3 linked regions of the Lepisosteus oculatus genome follow. The protein of the gene in region 1 purifies or fractionates together with the protein of each later gene. This does not show direct contact. Links are inferred from orthologs where the notes say so. Each region holds a gene or a part of one and is shown on either strand. Other genes may lie near its edges. The genes, in order: smarca1, cecr2 and pole3.

The links.
Region 2: the proteins of smarca1 (region 1) and cecr2 purify together in Homo sapiens (affinity purification with mass spectrometry; 3 studies listed by BioGRID and IntAct, with this or other methods). This does not show direct contact. The link is inferred for Lepisosteus oculatus from reciprocal best matches to the Homo sapiens genes SMARCA1 and CECR2.
Region 3: the proteins of smarca1 (region 1) and pole3 purify together in Homo sapiens (affinity purification with mass spectrometry; 3 studies listed by BioGRID and IntAct, with this or other methods). This does not show direct contact. The link is inferred for Lepisosteus oculatus from reciprocal best matches to the Homo sapiens genes SMARCA1 and POLE3.

The regions. Positions count from the first base shown.
Region 1 is NC_090703.1:42,610,649-42,614,401, reverse strand, and holds the start of smarca1 (probable global transcription activator SNF2L1), read left to right. Parts: upstream 1-1,176; 5' UTR 1,177-1,283; coding exon 1,284-1,340; intron 1,341-2,350; coding exon 2,351-2,440; intron 2,441-2,933; coding exon 2,934-3,100; intron 3,101-3,384; coding exon 3,385-3,485; intron 3,486-3,716; coding exon 3,717-3,753.
Region 2 is NC_090702.1:8,898,111-8,901,863, forward strand, and holds the start of cecr2 (chromatin remodeling regulator CECR2), read left to right. Parts: upstream 1-1,247; 5' UTR 1,248-1,544; coding exon 1,545-1,664; intron 1,665-3,753. UniProt on the Homo sapiens protein: Regulatory subunit of the ATP-dependent CERF-1 and CERF-5 ISWI chromatin remodeling complexes, which form ordered nucleosome arrays on chromatin and facilitate access to DNA during DNA-templated processes such as DNA replication, transcription, and repair.
Region 3 is NC_090719.1:3,256,161-3,259,913, reverse strand, and holds the start of pole3 (DNA polymerase epsilon subunit 3), read right to left. Parts: upstream 2,548-3,753; 5' UTR 2,406-2,547; intron 2,208-2,405; 5' UTR 2,176-2,207; coding exon 2,110-2,175; intron 1,556-2,109; coding exon 1,470-1,555; intron 926-1,469; coding exon 807-925; intron 388-806; coding exon 212-387; 3' UTR 1-211. Other genes in the region: uncharacterized protein C9orf43 homolog, read left to right, coding at 3,307-3,457. UniProt on the Homo sapiens protein: Accessory component of the DNA polymerase epsilon complex. Participates in DNA repair and in chromosomal DNA replication.

The sequences.
Region 1 (3,753 bases):
GGCTCTCCCACAACCCTATATTGGATAAAGGGGTTAGAAAACTGAGCAGCTGATGTACTGTATATGGCTCATGAAAAATGGTGAGGAAACTAAAGATAGTAAGTAGTAGAAGCCTTAAGGTTTTAGTGTGGTCTGGACAACTACAGTACACTATTTGCTTAAGGTTTTGATTAAAGCAAAGGTGACATAAATGATTCTCACTAAACTTCAGACCTGCATAGATTACAGCAGATTTCAAATTTCTAACTTCAATACATTAGGCTTTTGTGACATCTAGTGGTCTGTTTAACATTTTTCCTGCGCTAAGAAAACTGTGAAATTATTATTCGATAGACGTATGACCTTATCCAGGGCGATTTACAGGAATAAATGCAAGTACTATTTAAATGTCGGTACAATGATCACTGCAAGAACATTACAAAGGTGTCAAATAATCCAATAGTATAATAACAGAGCTAATACAAATCTAAAAGAATCTAACACACATTGAATACAACAAAAACAAAAATTATTAGCATTAAGTGCTAATTCTATGTCAATATTAATAAAATATATTAATGAGACTGGGCGAGAGTATGTTAAAGGACCTGTTATTTTTTCAATAATTCTTAACTGATTAAACGTCGTTGTGTACGAGTTTTTTTTATTATACTCCTGCTTTAAATTCAAAATATCTCGACACTGCAGTGGTACGGATCACTGCTACTTCGTTCTTCCAGTAGGACATATTTATTGAACAAACCGAATATTCTCACATTAATTCGGTAACAGCTTCAGTTTCTCCCTTTCCACTAATATGTATACTACGTTTACTATTTTGGCATTTGACACATCTTGGCATAGCTCTTTAGATATATTGTATTAAGATTTGTTGTATCAAAACAACTACGACTCCAAGAAATAAAATACAAATAACTAGCGCTTAAAAAGTAAAATCACACAGGGCGCAAGCTCATTTGAAAGATCACAAGTACAGTATCAACACCAGTTCTGTGTTTTAAAATAGATGACATTATGTGTGTGCATTTTTTAAAATACTAGGCTAAGCCTTTAGAATCGAAATCCAACTCAACGTCTGGAAATATATTTCCTTTCTGTCCGAATTTTCTAGTCAAAACCGGACTAACTTCTCGCGGTGTTACGTTGCCATAACTCCGCGAGATTTAATTATATGTATAAGGGGGCGGATGCTACGAAATGTACAGTCAGATGGTGACGTATTTTATTATTTTAACTTACAGTAAAAATCAAAATTGAGTCAAGATTAAACAAGTATAGGAGCAATGTCAGACGAAGAGATTCCGTCAACATCCCGGGAGCCTGAACCTGATTCGGAGGAGGTGAGGGAAGGATAATGTGCAGTATTTTTCAGTAAGCTTCTGTGTAAAAGAAGTAGACATTGCAGAACCGAAGTTTGCTGTTTTTTTTTTTTGCTTCGTTTTGCATTTGGGGAATATGGCGGGAAGGAAGCACGCAACATCTGCAGACAGATGTCAGTCTGTATTTTAGAAGATACAAAAACAACCTATTATATTAAAACAAAGCATGACTGACCACCTAACCCCTACAGTTAGTATAGTAGCCCAGGTACCGATCAAAAGAAATACAGGTGGGCGTGAAAATTGAAAACGACACTCACTGCGTCTTGCAGAGAAGCTGGTACCTAATACAGTACCTCAAGAATACAGTAAAATGGCACTGCGAGAGAAAAAGCCTGCTGTCGAATAGGAAACCGAATAGGTGTTGTGTTGTATAATTATTATACCTGTTACATTAACAGACACAGTCCAGTTTTAAGTAATTGTTCTGTACATTATAAATACAGACTTAATAGCAAGTTTCCCCTTTCATAACAGTCAAAATTCACTAATGTAATAATGTACTGAAGAATGCCCCCAATGGTAATTCAGACACACAAAATATGCTGTTTCGGATGTTTTGATTACAGAATGAGACAACTATATTTATTTAATAAACTTAGGAAACATGAAAAAGCCATATACTGTATGCTGTATACAGAGAAAAACTGAGACTTATTTTACTATTCTAAAAAACTCCAATTAATATAATATACATTGATAAAATAATACTATTATTCATAAACATATAGGTCCATATACAGTTTTGGTATAAATAACTTCACCATCTAACCATGCTACTCATACTTAGGGTATTATTACTAAATTAATAGTACATTACTTCATTTATATTGAAAGATGTGCAGTTTATTTTAAATTTTAAAACTTATATCCAATACACAAACAAAGCAACTAAAATAGTCAAAGTGACAAAATGTCATTTACATACAGTAATCATTACATTTATCATTTGATGTACTCTGTGCCTTTAGAAAGAGGATCCACCTTTTCAACTCAAACCTCCCCCCAAACTGGTAACAAAAGTAGAGGCAGACGTTGACCCTGAATATGAGGAAAAGAGGGTAAGTAATTCAATGCACATACTGTATCATGCATTATTATTTTGCTGTCTGATATATTATTAACAATTTTCACCCTTAATTGTGTGACCTGTTCTATAATACCATTCAAAAGAAACATGTATTTCAATTCTAGATTTGATGTTAGCTGTTATAGATCAAAATTGCAATTGCATTGTAATTTATTCAGATTTAGTTTCTAAGATTACAATAATAAATGATGAGACATGGGAACTCTACTGAACATGTACAGAACATATTTCACTTGTGTTGGTGAAATGTTCAAAAGAAAAGATTAATGGTTCCTCTCTCATTGTAAGTTTCAAATTTTGGTTTAATGCACTGCTTTTGTTTTAAACTGGTAATAGTAAACAAGTAAACTTTAACTTACGTGCAAATAAGAAACACATGCAGAAATATACTTCAGGTATATTTCAGATATTACAAACTACACACAGGATTTAAAGTATTTTTTTCTTCTCTCTTTTTCCTTCAGAAAACAGATCGGGCTAACAGATTTGAATTCTTATTGAAGCAGACAGAGCTCTTTGCACATTTTATTCAGCCAGCAGCACAGAAGTCTCCTACATCTCCACTGAAAGTGAAGCTGGGGAGACCTCGCATGAAGAAGGATGAAAAACAAAATCTGCTCTCCGTGGGGGAGTAAGTCATCAATAAGATTGTTATTTGAAATAATTTGTACCACTTAATACAGACATTAGTACCATCTGCATTTATATTTCAGTGCTTACTTGTATCACGATTCCACTGTGTGTATGAGTGCAGTGTACCACTGTGGTCTCCGTCTGTATTATTTAAATGGTAATGAAATACAGTTCTTCCCATTAAACCAATATTTGATGTTGTTTTATTTTTCACTTTAAATTGCCTGGGAATACATATATATTAAATATTAAATGGTTTTTTTTTGTGTGTGTAAATTTCAGTAATCGTCATAGACGCACTGAGCAAGAAGAGGATGAGGAGTTGCTGTCAGAGAGCCGAAAGACATCAAACGTCCTGGTCAGATTTGAAGAATCACCATCTTGTAAGGCACAAAAAAATATTGAATTAAGTAATTTTACTTGAGCTGTCATGATCTTTTATAGCTTGGCCAATACATTCAATTTCATGATGCTTACAGATAAAAAAGCTACCATTTTAATGGCTATATTTAGCAGGCGTATCCAGTAATAGATTTTGTATTAAGACATTTCTAATTGTAATGCTTTGCTAAATGCTCAGATTTTATTGTTATTTCAAATATTTTGTTTTCCAGATGTTAAAAATGGAGCACTGAGGGATTACCAAATTCG
Region 2 (3,753 bases), on another chromosome or scaffold:
AGTCACAAAAACAAGAAAGAAAATTAAAAGATTAAGGAATGGATACAGAACTGATTTCGCTCTGAAAAATGAGTTAGAACTCAAATGTAATTTGTCAGAACAAGAAAACTCAGTAAATCGTGTATATTCGACATACAGGGTTAGTGATATGTACTGCATTGTCTGTCCTTACACGCAAAACAAGGACTGGTAAAGTTTTTCGTGGCACTTCATTGTGAATTCAATTTATACAAAAAACTGAATTTAACAGTTAAGAGATTATCATAATAGTGTTGGGTTTTTCTAGTGGAACGTTATGTACATGTCTACCTCTTTTACGCCAGGAGGCGCTGTAAATCACGAAAAAGCTGAGCGCCGTAAAAACACTAATAAATATTAAAGATGTCAGGTCAAAACATTGGTATGAATTTAGGCGAGCGCAAGAGAGGCAAAGTTAAATCCGACTCTTGCATCAAATATCTACAACAGCATTTAACGAGTTTTTTATTCATTAATATCACAGATTTGAATTTGAATCGACAACACATCTTTCTATAATACAATTCTTTAAGGACGTTAAATTTACAAAGTGCTGTGAACTGTCAAAATGGTAAGTATTTAAGTCTAAACTCAGACACGCAAATATAGAAATACTTCACGTTCTCTGTGCTCATATAAGGTTTTGACAGCAATCTAAGAAATGACTGACCTCCTTTGTCTACTAAAATACTGTGTGCGACTCGGCATACTACAGGCAACACTGCTCAACACAAAACAAAAATCTCTCAGCTCCTTTACCGACACCGAATCTTCTGCTTTTAACTTTGAAATTTTCTTTGCACTTAATGTTATGTGTTATTGTTTAATAGGGGGAGACAGGCTAGAAAGGTTTATGTTGTGGGTGTTAAACCGGTCCACACCGTAGCTACACCCCCCACACAAAAAACAGCCATCGCGGCTTATCATTGTCCGCCAAGCTTCTCCCCCTTTCCCACCCCCAGCAGTGTGTACTAAGATAATGTGATTGCGCTCCCTCTCTGGATGCTCCACGCTACAGGATACCTCCATGTGCCCACTCTGCACGAGCGCTTCTTTCAAGCTCACACAGGGACCCTTGCAAGCATTCCCTTTAACTGGGTCCTCGACTACAGAGCCGAGTCGGGGGGAAAAGTTTCACAAAACAACGCGGAGCTCGCTACACCGAAGAGGTACAATCAAGCAAAGCTTTTTTGAAAGAGGACATTTCGTTGTAGATCACAGCGGAGATGCTACTGTATAAGAACTCCAGGCTGACTGCACTCAAGGACACACTGGGTTTAACGGCAACTCCCCCTACTCTACTGAGATGGTAGCTCCCCCCCATCTGTTCCCTACTTGTGAAATTCAGATTGAAGCAGATTGTAGTACTCTCCAGGTTGCAATGGCAACTGACTTGATGCAACAACAACTTTGGTTTCTTTAAAGATAAGTTTTTTTTTTCCAAGCAAAAGAAAACTTTTAAAAAAATCGCAAGCCACCTTTTCCCCCACTGATGTAAAATAATATATACCTCGCACCTTTGGAAAATGTCCCAGGAATGTACAGTTTCTGTGGAAGAAATCCGTTCGTGGTGGGAAGTCCCTGCCATAGCTCATTTCTGCTCCTTATTCAGGACCGCTTTCAATTTACCAGACTTTGAAATTGAGGTAAGGGCGCAGTGATTTATTTCATTCATTAAGATGGTGCATTTGTTTTCCGGTTGCGTGATTTAAACTTTAACTATACCCATCCGTGTTGCCACCTCCCTTTACCATGCATGAATGAAAAGTTCTGATGTTTAAGTTCTTTGTGATCTTTGGTCATTTTCTTTGATCCCCCTTTTAAAACACATTTACCTCAAAATTGATTTTCGATTACAAGGGTATAATGGGTTCCGTCAGAACACAGAAATGTTTTACTGGTTGATTCGTGTCTTTTTAAACAGCGATAATGTGGGTTTGTTTTGATAAATAAAGTTGGATTGTGAGAAGTCCGTTTGTTTTCGTATTCTAAATGGGTTTTTCATCGCTGTGCTAAGCGACCCCAGTCCAAAAATTGTAGCACTTGTAATTTTTGCTAACAAAATGAAACTATGTTGGATCAATTGCGCGCATACGGTTTTTTAAACGAAACACTGTGATTTTATTTCAGACGGACTTCAGTTTCTTGTTGTTCGTTGAGCATGATCATGTGTGCCAGGTGACTGTAATTTCTTGCATCATTATCATCATTATTATTATGGAAAAAGTCAAGTTCACCTGTCCTTTAAGTTTTATGGTCAGTTGACCTCAATTTAAGAGCATTGTTTACGGTGCGTGAGGGTATTAATGCATCTCGTTTCCAAAAGGAGGCTTTTTCCTGCTGAGCTTGTTTTTCTCACTCGCCCATAATGCTGCTTGAAGCTTACCTAAAGTTCACCCCGATTCAAAACTGAGGGTTGAATTTGAGAAGGTGTGCATTTGTATGTGTTTGTAGTGAGATGTTTTGTTGTAATCGATCACACTTCGAGCGCCGCAAGTAGAGAGGCTGACTGTTAATGTTACGCTACATCGCGTCTAGCTGTACGAGTGGGGAGGAAGTTTAAAGGCAGTCGAGCTGCATTTTAGGTTTAGGGTTCAAAACGCTTCCAGTTAAGAACGGTTGCTTGATCCCAGAAAGATCTGAGGAAATCTGAGATTTGGGGGAAAAAACGAGGAAGGTCAACATCATGCATCAGCACCCCTCCTCCTCCTTCTCCAAATCCAAAGCATCGCTTTGTTATTGGGAAGGGGAGAAAAACACCACACGCTGTTCAGCTCAAGTGAAGTTGGCTTTCTCTCTGCTGCTTCGCCCATTGTGTGGATGATTGAAGGTCCCTTGCCGAGGAGGCTTGGTGTCAGAAACGAATTTTTGAGGTCGATTACCCCTTCCCCCCCACTAAAATGATGCGCGTAATGCCTCCGTATGTTATAAAACAAACCCAACCTGAGAAATAAAACTTGGCGAGACCGTTGAATATCGGTCGGGCTCATTTCCCTTTTCCAATTGGCTGCGTGAGTGTTATCGCAGCTGTTGTAAACTGCTGGTTTTGCGATGTCGATGAGAGGAACGTCTTAATCTAATTCCCCAAGGCTCATCCAAGGTGACGCATGACACGACTCTATAAATTTAGGGTGGTCGAAAGAAGGTGATGCGGTTAGTTAGCTGGGGTAGCTGACGATTTTGCCGTTTGCAATGGGACGGCGCCTCATGGCTTGACTGTGCAGACCCGGAGCTGAAGCCCCGGCGATCAGGAACATCTTAATCTGATCGGGAGCGCCGACTATCCAAGGTCACGTTACGTTCAGCTGTAGATCGGCCGTTCCCCGGGTTCACTGCAACCATTACAAGGCAAGTGGACTTGTGCAGAGGGCGAGTAAAAATGTCGTTGTCTCCGCTGTCGCGGGACGTTATGTCCGCTTTGATGACCCTCCCAGGCCTCGTCGCGGGGTGTCCTGTCATGTGACCCCCCTCCCAGTGAAGGAGCGTTCACTTGTCAACACGTAGGACACGGTTTGGTAACTCATACGTTTGTCGATGATAAAGGCATTGTACCTTAGCATTGTACGAAGCGGCTACCTGTTATAGTTGAGATTCTTGTGGATTTTCCTTCGTTCAACGTGGAGTAATGCGCGAGGAGGCGTGTTTCTCTGAATAATTATACATTGTCAGTTCTCCTAAGTAATGCCCGACAGTCGACTTCTTGACCAGTTATAATTATTGAGGTCAGCAAAACAA
Region 3 (3,753 bases), on another chromosome or scaffold:
GACTGCATGGTTGATGGAGCATATCTAAATGGAACACGTGGTCCAATAGCCACCAGGTTAATTGGCAAGAGCCTGGGTTTTAAAGTAGACTCTACGGCCCATTATAACTTATCCTCAATCTGGCTCTTTCTCAAGTTACTTAAGCTTCACAGCAGTCGGTCCTGACAGCAGTGGAGGGGGAGGAGGCGGGGGGTGGGGTGGGAAGAGAGATTTAGTTTTCCACCTCCTCCTCCTCTCCCTCCTGCTCCTCCTCCATGCGCTCCTCCTCTTCCTCTTCGTTCTCCTCCTCCCGGCTCTTGTCGGGGTCCTCGCCATCGTTCCTCTTCTCCTTGTCTTTGCGCTTCTGCTCCGAGGCCTCCTTCTTCCCCCGCTGGCCCTTCTTGTACGCTGCGGAGCAGAGAGACCCCAGGACCGTGAGACCGGTGAACGGGCGACCGTTTAACTCTGCGCAGTAAATGCATTTTCCCCTGTCACTGTGACGACTTCCATCCGGGGACACGGATCACTCGCTTTAGCGCCTACTGTATAAAAAGCAGAATATAGCCTGTGCTTGACTAGCAATTCAATCGAAGGGAAAATCATCCTTTGTTAGCCAGGCGTTGATGAAGTTACAATCGCAAAACCATGACGTTTGTGTGCAAGCTGGCCAAGGAAAAAGAGATGCCAGTCTATGGGATTCCTGCAGAGACTGAATCTCTCCCAGATCTCTTTGATTTATTCTGCGGTGTCGGTTGTGTCGTTGGTCTCTCGCCCTCTGCCCCTTCACCCGCATGCACTCCTCTCCTAGTCCACCCCCTCCTTCTCACCTTCCAACGACTCCTTCAGTGGCTGGAGGAAGCGCTCAAACTCCATCTCCTCCATGGCCGCCAGCACGTCGCCCGCGTTCAGAGTCTTCCTCTTGGCTTTCATGGCAAAGTTGTTTGCACTGGGTAGCATTAATCACAGGGAGACAGGAAAAAGGGCTGTTAGGGTCCTGCAGTCTCTCCGGTGAGGGATCGACAAGTCGAGACGGGTCTTTGTATTAATTCATCGCATATACAACCTGCTTCTCCTTTTTGTTCCAACGAAGACCTTCACTTTAAAAAACAAGTGCACCATTCTCCCCTCCTTTGTTTTGAACAGTGAGCACATGGCACAAATCAGTGTTTTTTTTCCTTAAGTAATTTTTAAATTAAGTAAAATATAACTATTTTCCCCCTGCTTTTTGCTTGTCAAAAGATCTAAGATCTAACTTAATTGTCCATCCCAACCGGTGGGAATTTGTCTTTGATATGGCCACACAAAACAACACTTAACATAGACATTAAAGACAAATAGACCTAGACATGCAACAGTACGTATACTGTTCATGCATCTTGCTCTGCCCCTGTTACACTACCATTACAATAATCGAAAAGCTTCATACAGGGACTGGTCACTTCTGCGGGTCGGATCCAGTGCCCTGGAAATGCTGTGCGCGCCATCCTCACCATGATGTGGCATACAGGACAAAGACACTGGCAGCCTGCGAGATGGCTCTCCTGGCCTCTTTGGATATGTTCACTCCATCGGGGAGCTGCAGGGGAAAAAAAAAAGGTGCTCAAGCAAGGTAAGGGGTTTCATTAGTTAAGATCGCCTTTTTTTTTACACTTTATACTATTGAACAGGGATGCACCTGTCTATTCCTGTAAAAACCAGCACAGTTCCCTAAGTCTACTGTTCAACTGTCTACCTTGATTACTCGGTGTATTTTACAGCTCTGTATTATGTAGAGGCTCATTCTGCTGCTCTACATTCAGAAAGCTGCGTCTCGCCCCTAGACCGATTTTTCCCCACCTTTCCTTTCCGGCTGTTGCCATCTGTACAGGTGGTTAGTGGCTGTTAACTGATTTAAGACATTCGTCTCTGATTCATTTGCGCCCAAATCCTGTGGGAACACCCCCAGATATGCAAAAAAAACCCACCAACTAGCAGAGAAAGTTAAGAGAACACCTGACAGTTGTTCCTTTAAATTTTCGTTTTACTTCGGAAGGGCACCCTTTTTGAAAATCTGTATACCAGCGATTCCAGGCTGTTGAGATAAAAAGGAAAGCCCAGCAACCGAGCCAATAACCTCGCACAGTGTCATACCGCTTCCTTGATAATACGCGTTATCACAGCGTTGGGCAAATTCAGGTCCTCTGGCCGCTCAGCCATTCCGCCTCTGTTCCCGAAAGACGAGCCGTTATCTGCGGACGCAAACCCAGTCAGATTAGATCACACGGGCCGGCGGTGGCATCGGTTTGGACACCCCGGGAGCAGGAACGGGTGAAGGCGGCCTGACGTCTCGTCAGGGCCGCCCGGGGTGGCCAAGCACAACGCGCCCACAGCCCTAAGAAGGGTAACCGGGTTTCTCACGATTTAACTACAGTACAGACGACCTTTACCTCCAGGTCCCGGTGAGGTACGTTTGTTCCCACGTTAATTCCGATCCAAGTGTTTTAACAGCGGGGTTCGGTCGAAACTTTTACTACAGTTTTAAAATCAACAGCCCGCGTGAATCTGAATCTGACAAACCACGAACGCCCTTTCACCTTTGACCTCCCACCCCTTGGCGACGTCAATAACAGTAATAAAACTTCTAGCGGACACATGGAAAAATAGTCATATGTATTCTTACTATTTTGTTTGCCCACATAGTCACCACAACACAGATAAAACAGCAGAATGTATTTAGAATTTATTTTTATTGTATGACCGAGCGTGAAACCCACAATGCACTCTGGCTGTCGGGGCAACTTGCGCATGTTCAGTAAAGAAAGCGTCTTGTTGCCAGGCAACAAGATTACTAGCTGACTACTTGCCCGGCTTGAGGTAAAACAAATACATTAACTGTTTAAAAATACATAACTTTGTATGCTGTTGAGTTTGCCTTGTTTAATGTCGTTTCTGGGTCTATATGTGGAGGCATTAGTTGATAGTTGTAAATGGGAAGAATTCAAAACAAGAATATTTTACAAGCACGCTTGAACTCGTGAAGAGAAAACCAGCTCAGATCATTCTCTGTCCTTTTTTTTTTTTAATTTGGAAGTAAACGCATCAGATAAGAGTTTATTAAAACAGTCGTGGCCTGCCCTTGCACTCTAAAACCACGGTTCTGTAGATTTCGCGAATTAAAGTTCTGGAATAATTAAAAGGGTTCTGACGAAACAAACAACCTCCGTGCGCTTAGTGTTTCAAAAACCTAGACTTGAGAAACAATGCACGCTGGTGTCCACCAGCAGTAAGGATGCCTGCCGCTTTAAGTTCTGATATTTCGATCCTAGCCCTGTTGATTTGAAGACCGCAATGGAGGACCCGGGCGGGCTGATTCTGGACGAGACGCATTGTTTCCTGGCGCTGTGTCAGCATCCCTGCTGCTGGGAAGCAGAGAGGCGAGTTTATAGAGGCTTCCCCAGGTACACCAAGGCGAGGACTGCACCCACGGTCTCACAAGAAGGTACTTTACGAGAATCCATCCTTTTCCCCTCACGATAACACTTACAAAGAAGAGAAATCCATTTGGCCCAGCTCATCTGGCTCATTGGTTTTTCAGGAGCTAAGCGATCCAAGTATCCTTTAAGAAAGACGCCAGTGTATCACCTTCACCAGCCTGGCCTGAGCTTGTCCCAGACTCCTGCAACGCTTTGTGTAACACAAAGTGCCCATTGAGTTTGATTTGAAGGGTTAAAAGAACTGAATGTGTTTCGTTCGGAAGCAGAGGAAACAATGAGGTGTCCTGTTTCGGGTGTTGAA